Tribolium castaneum: one gene and its partner. The protein of the gene in region 1 interacts with the protein of each later gene in a biochemical or structural test. Links are inferred from orthologs where the notes say so. Each region holds a gene or a part of one and is shown on either strand. Other genes may lie near its edges.

The links.
Region 2: the proteins of Keap1 (region 1) and Mcm3 form a complex in vitro, tested with the Homo sapiens proteins (2 studies listed by BioGRID, with this or other methods). The link is inferred for Tribolium castaneum from reciprocal best matches to the Homo sapiens genes KEAP1 and MCM3.

Annotation. Positions count from the first base shown.
Region 1 is NC_087395.1:20,693,019-20,696,678, reverse strand, and holds part of Keap1 (kelch-like ECH-associated protein 1B), read right to left. Parts: intron 2,269-3,660; coding exon 2,142-2,268; intron 2,093-2,141; coding exon 1,814-2,092; intron 1-1,813. UniProt on the Homo sapiens protein: Substrate-specific adapter of a BCR (BTB-CUL3-RBX1) E3 ubiquitin ligase complex that regulates the response to oxidative stress by targeting NFE2L2/NRF2 for ubiquitination.
Region 2 is NC_087400.1:2,693,380-2,697,139, forward strand, and holds the start of Mcm3 (DNA replication licensing factor Mcm3), read right to left. Parts: upstream 2,490-3,760; 5' UTR 2,361-2,489; coding exon 2,289-2,360; intron 2,235-2,288; coding exon 1,913-2,234; intron 1,867-1,912; coding exon 1,736-1,866; intron 1,686-1,735; coding exon 1,447-1,685; intron 1,179-1,446; coding exon 885-1,178; intron 832-884; coding exon 525-831; intron 471-524; coding exon 322-470; intron 63-321; coding exon 1-62. UniProt on the Homo sapiens protein: Acts as a component of the MCM2-7 complex (MCM complex) which is the replicative helicase essential for 'once per cell cycle' DNA replication initiation and elongation in eukaryotic cells.

The DNA of each region.
Region 1 (3,660 bases):
CATCGATGGTACACATCGAGTTATTTTAAAGACTAACGAATTAACAAATGCACACTAATGTTCAAAAATGTCAAATCTGGTGTGCAAAATGTCAAATACAGAATACAGCCAGTTTCAAAAGTGGTTGGACATGCACTTTTAGGGTGATACAGTCTTCTCTTTATCAGAATTTTGACACTGACAGTTGATTATTTAAAAAATAAACTATACCGGGTGCTCAAAAACCGGCGCACCAACTCAGTGGTGAGGCTTTCGGTGGTAGAGAACTGCTTACATATAAAGATAAAAATATTTAAAAAATTCTTTGTATTAAAGTTATTGATAAATAACGAATTAAATAAATGGTATGTGGCAACGGTGTTTAACAGTCGTGATCGTGGTCGTAATCGCAACGCAATAGAACTTGATCAACAATAAAGATAAATTATTTTTGAAACGGTTTCCTAGGAAATAATTCCCAGTGTTGGCACATCTACACACTGTGTTTTTTTGCTAAATTGTATTTTTTCTAAATTCAAAAAACTGCTAAGTCTGATATTAAATTTAAAAATAATTATGCATCGTTTTGTTAGGGAACAATTACGCATGCTTCTCAACAACGTACAACGTACCTACTACTGAGTTGGTGCGCCAGTCTCTGAGCACTATGTTTCAAGTTTTAGTGCCAGTAAAAAAATAAATACTTCTAGTTGTCCAAAAGAAAAATATCGCAAACGGTAGAGTATTTAACACGCTTCAATTTGTTGCTTTAACGTTATAACAAATTTTCATAGTATGAGCGTGAAATGCAAAAAACTATAATAAAAAATTTTTGTTTTCAAATTATTGCAATCTTTTTTTATAATAAAATTCCTCCTATTTTTTAAGTAACGATTCCGGAATTGAAATAGTAAAAAACGCAAGACGTTTGGGGCAAATGATTTATTTGATTTGATTTAGACCAAATAAATGTTTTATCTTGTCACCTTTGAGAAAACAGAGCTCGTGTCTTTGCTTGACTCACAAAAATTTGTACTGTCACTGTCTCACTTAAAAAATAGGAGGAATTTTATTATAGAAAAAACGATTGCCATAATTTAAAAACAAACAAAACATAATGTAGTTTTTTGCATTTCTCACCCATATTATAAAAATTTGGAATAACATTAAAGCATCAATTTGAAGCGTGTTAGAAACTCCATCGTTGGAAATATATTTTATTTCCTTTGAGCAACAAAAAGTATTTATTTTTTCACTGGAACTAAAACTTGAAACACCCTGTATATGATATTATTTTCAAAATTACTTGCATTAAATTTCTTATACTTTATTAGACTTGGAGATTTTGCATTTTACCGAGAACACACCGCGTGCCAAGACGGTCAAACGCTTCGGCCCACAAAAGTTTTGAAGATTAGGTGATTTTGTTTCCGTTACGTCTTTTCGATTTAGTTTTTCGTAATTTATATGTAAAATTCTCCTAAATAAAGAAAAAATCTACAAAAAAATATAATTAAATAAAATAATAAAATTAGGTAACTTGTAACTTTTATTACTTATTCATATGTAGTATTTATTGCATACCACAGAAATTAATAAAATTATTATTATAGTCAACAACAAAGAAAACAAATTTTCTGTAAAATTGAATTCATTTTGTTTTCTAGCGAAAATTTTTTCTTTTGTGTATAAGCAAAAGCAAACAAACGTAGATACAATATGAAAAAATCAAAAACTGCCATCCAATGTCCCAACTGTTTTAATAGAGGATCTCTGGACTTTGCCCCCTGCTATCTCCTTTCCGCGAAACCCGCGTGATAACGAGAATACTCACTTGTAGCATTGTCGCGGCAGGTAATAATTGGCACACGGTGTTTTCCGTCACTCTTATCCTACCGGTGTACATGAAATGTATTAGTCTAGCCATCGCGGTCGCGGAAACGCCTTGAAGGGGTATCCTCGTCATTTCGCATTCTTTTAAGCCACCAGTAAACATGGCCTTAAAGTAGGGACTAGCAGCGGCGAGGACCACTCGATGTGCATAAAATACTTCGTGGCCAACTTCTAGTGTTATGTCGGTCAACATTTGATGACCTCTCATCATGTCCATGGCCTGTAAAGTAACGAAATTATTTCTGATAAGGAGCTATCGAGTCATCTACCTTCATGGCTTCTTTGATGTAATCCAACATCATGAAACTCATGTCGCCCAAGTCAGACACGTGGACGCCATTCTGGCGAGAATGGCTTTTGCTGCAGTAACTGTCTTCGTCTCCATCCATTCTACAACTGCAATGGAAATGCGTATTTTTAGCGACTGATAAGAGGACCCCCTGGTTCCCAAACTTTTCGTAATTGATCTTTTAAATTTGATGTCATTAGCCGATTTGCCTATCTTATCATCCTCGTTTCAAGTCAAGTGTTTTAAATACATTATTTATTAGCGTGCAATTTTTGAATGGATCTCGTGGTAGTCAATTCAAACGGTGACACAAGAATATAACCGAGTCACTGTTAGAAATGTTAGTAATATGCAAATAAGACATGAATGAATGACACGTTTTTGAAAAAATCAGCATTAATAATGCAAAATGGTAATTTCTTGTTAAATTTATTCAGCGTCGATTGTGCCAAAATCTACGCACAGTAGTTAATTAGAAAAGCATTTTCATTCTAATACTGTTCGAACAATTTAATCTCGAAATGTTTACAAGTCATTCTTTATCAGGATCTTTGCACACTTAACGGAACATTAAATATTAGCATTATCAAAAACAGGCTGTTTAAATACTCTGCAAAATCGTTGTTCGACTTTTCTAATAGCTATTAAACAAATATTAACCATTCGCAATCTCGCGTGATAAGCTTGACACGAGTCTGCTGCTTTGAAAATCCAAAAGCAATGATTCACGTGTCAATAAACCCCTTCAAAAAATAGATAACGATTTTGCTTAAATTTGGATTTATTCATGTGACTGACGAGTTTATACTACGTGGTGTAGGCAAAGTTCAAATGACATCATTTTTTAAATGTGAACATTAGACTTTATGATCCTCTTGTGTTAAGAATGCACTATTTTAATAATAGAAAATGATGCTTTTAGCAGAGCTGATGCGCTTGTTAATTAGCTTTAATTTTTGTTTTTCTATTTTAGTTATTTTTGCCTGTAACTATTTCACACAATATAGGTGATTTAAAAGTGTCAAACGAGCTTCCAAATAGTGTCAGAAGACGTTTTTTCTTTTTTCCAGTTAACTAATATTTTTTTCCTTACAAACCGCCTTAATTGATGCCATTTTGTTTCCAATGTTGTCGGATTCAATTTATTGTCGATTTTCCTAGTTTGTTAAATGTCTTGAACACCATAAGACATAAATTCGTATTTTTTTTTTCAACAGTTATCTGTGTAATGTTGCAAGATCTACTATTTCCGCTAACTAAATTCAAGAAAACAAAATCTAAAAAATTAACACAAACATCGAACCTTTGAACAGCTATAGGTATCACATGAAAAAAAGATCAAACAATTTTTTGGCAGAAAACTTTTAACTTACTTGTATCTCTTTTATCACTGCGCAAAAGATGATCTAAGATTTTTTTGAATCACGCTGTATCGGTTTATACGTTTTATTCAAATTTCCAGATACATTATCATTATCACTAAAAATGTACCTATTACA
Region 2 (3,760 bases), on another chromosome or scaffold:
TACTCAACATGTCCACGCTTGAGCCCATTGGCAGGACTTCGCCATCTTGCTCACCCGGATTTCTAATATTTTTATCAAGTTCAAAATTAGTATTTATAATTTTTTATTAATTTTTTTTTACTTATTTATTTTTAATTAACTGTATCTGTCATTTTAAAGTCATATTATTTATTATTTATATTATTAACCCCCTTGGAGGTGGAAGTTCAATTTGCAGATTTAAATTAATTAACTATATTTTTTGGGTACGATTTTGTATCTCGTTCCGCCTCCTAACACACAGTCCTCCGTAGTCCGCACAAGCCTACTAAAAAAAAATACCTATATCGGTGCATCCTGACCACGTGATCCGAAATCATCAAATCATGATCCTCATCCACTGAATCCAACATCACGAACAGCAAATCAAACCGCGACAGGAGCGAGTCTTGCAACCCGATGTTTTCCATTGGCGTCTTGTACTGATCATACTACAAATCACCCAATCAAATCGCTGCTTTCGCAACCGACCAATCAAACCCCACCTTTCCGTAAACCGGATTGGCCGCCGCCAAAACCGAGCACCTGGCATTCAAACTTGCGTGAATCCCCGCCTTGGCAATAGTGACACGCCCCTGTTCCATGACCTCATGAATGGCCGTCCTGTCCATATCCGACATCTTGTCGAACTCATCAATGCACACGACGCCACGATCGGCCAAAACCATCGCACCGGCCTCTAACCGCCTCTCGCCGGTCTCCTGATCGGTTGTAACCGCTGCGGTTAGACCAACCCCCGACGATCCACGCCCAGTGGTGGGAATGGCCCGAGGGGCGGTGCATAACACGTATCTCCATGGCAACTGCCAATCACAATCAACGATTCACAAATCGAGTCGACTTACCGGAGGAGCTGTGACTTAGCAACGCTGGGATCGCCAATCAGTAACACGTTTATGTCCCCTCTTAGGCGCGTCCCATTGGGCAGGATCTTCTCGACTCCGCCCAAAAGGAGGCACAGGATCGCCTTCTTGATGTACTCGTGGCCGTGGATTGACGGCGCCAAAGACTTGGCTAATAATTCAAAGACGTTTTTGTTCGATTTGGCCAAGTTTTTACATTTGGCGACGTCTTCACGTGAAATGGAAGGATTTGCTTCTTTTGACAGTTGGGACACGTTACTTGCAATCACCACAGTGCTGCAAACATTAATCCCGTGGCAAAAAAATGACTAAATCACACTAATTGTTAACTATTTTTGAATGAAAATAAAGACAGTGGGGCACCAAGTCGGATCAAGTGTGTTGTTTACGTGACTATATTATTGTTTAAAACACATTTTCGTAATGTAATGATTGTTTTATGGCGTCCTGTCAATTCTAGTTCCAAAACCAAAATCACCAGCTTTTTAAAATTTGGCCCCAATTATTTTTTTATGTTTTTGCTTAATAATTATGGGAAAAATACCGGAAAATGCCGTTAGTGAAGCTCCCCTGTTTGTTGGGAAGGCACCGGTAGTTCCCCACCACTTGTATGCGGTCCCCGGGTTTGCACCTATCAACAAGGTCATTATCGCAGATTATATCAACCGAACGGGGCAACTGCCCCGCGGGGGCCTTTTCAGGCATCTCCTGAATGGAAATAGTTTGGTGGTCTTTATACACCGAAAGCCCAAATTCTGTCTCCAATAAATTGCCATCCTCGTCCTAAACCACTCAAATTAATTGATAAAAAATACAAAAAAGACACGACTGACTTTAGTGGGGTACACCGACGATGTGGGGAAGGCATCTAACGAAGTCAAATCAGTGTATTTCCTTTCCATTACTTTTTTCGTTACTGGACAAAAGTGGACACTCCGGACGACCTTGGGGTGCACCAACGAGCCTTAAAAACCAACCGGTAACGCAAGAAAGACGCAAACAAGTCCTACATTTCGTCACAATCCCCTCAACACAGACCAAATTCCCCAAAAACCTCGAAGTCAAACTCCTTGGAGTAACATGCTTATTGCCGAAGCTCCCCTCAAAGGCGATGAAAAACTCGTCGTTTTCCTTGGCATAGTCGTGCGCGACTGTGTAAACATACTCTTTGAGGGCTTTCTGAAACGCCGAATGCTCCTCAAAAGCGTTAGTGAGGAGGGCGGCAGCCCTGGCCGGGTTTTTGCGGCGCAAATCATTGACATTCACCACAAGCCGCAAACTGTGGTCCGCAACCATGTTTTTAACAAGTGTGGCGTACTTGCCTTGGTCCTCCTACGGGAATTTGGGGTTAAAACACGGGGGGAAGGCAACACCACCAATTCGTACCTCGTCATCGAGGAAGTCCAAGTACTCGTGCTGCATGTCGCGGAGGCGCTGGTCTAGCTCCTGGGGGTCCATAATGGGGCACTTAACACTGGAAATGCGGGTAATAACGGGCGAAAACACGGGAGGAGTTTTGGCGGGAAAAGAGCCACAGCGGTGTTGCCAAGTCGGGCCTGGGTGGCCAGATAGCTGGCACCATGAACATTACAATCGACCAGACAAATCATAATAAAAACATCAATAAGCTGTTACAGTGACTTGCATATCACATTTGCAGAACATCTCCTGACCGTTTTAATGTGTTTCTATTACAAATTAAAACTTAACTGCATTTAATTTCTACATTTTTTATTCCCTTATTCTCAGCAATTGTCTGGTCAACTGTCATGTGGGAACAGTGTCTAGCTGTTGACACCTTGTAGCAGCGTGTGAGCGTCGTGAGCGTGTTGTGCATCGATTAACAGGTAAGTCTTGATTGTCTTGATATTTATTAAATGTTATAAGTAAAATGTAATTCGTCTGACATTATGTTTATTTTCAACGATTGTGTCTAAAATTAAAGTAAATCAAATAACTGAATCCTGACCCACGACCACGTGGTTTTTATATTGTAATTGTTTTCGCGTCCAAAACATGGCAGTAATTACATAATAACTAGAATAATTATATTTATTATACTGTTATCACTAGGAAGTTGTAACACGTGTTGTACGGTAGGCAAAATTGCTTATCTGAATTTGTGTTTTTGTAAAGGTTTTTAAATATCGCAGAGAAAATGGCTGCTTAACGCTGACTCGTACTGTAAGTTGTTTCTATTGTTGTAATGTACAACTTTCACTTTCCTGTTAAATGTGCAACCCTCAATCCTTAACCGCTCGTGACGCCCCCCTTCTGGGAGCAGGTAGTTTTTCCTTCTTAAAAAGGACCGTCACAAAAATGAGGGAAGGAGACGCGATGTAGAGCTAAAAGTAAATTGTTGTAACGTTGTAAGTTGTTGGAAGTTTGTAGAGAATAAATCTGTTGAATTTTACACCGAGTATATTAATATTTCCCCTTTCTGAAGTATCACGAAATCGTGGATACAACACTATTCTTAGGTCCAAATCGCACAATAGGTATTTTTTTTATACTTGGAAGTAAGTGAATAATCTCATTTATCGGAAGAAAGGCATACCTATATTCAGAATACCAATTATTCATTAAACTCAACTAGTTTGTTAAAGTTAACTAATTGCCTTTCGCAGTTACTTTATAATAGCATACTTTACAGGCAAATAAGCTTGACCATTAATAAACTTACCTACTCATTCTATCAACAACACAATTTCTCTCAAAGTTAGTTGCATTCCAAAAAAAAATATATATATATATATATACATTACATTATCATTATTACATTATTATCATCGATTAAATTATAATGAAAACATGTCTTTACCACAATTGTTGTTATATTGTTTATTACCGAATCTTTG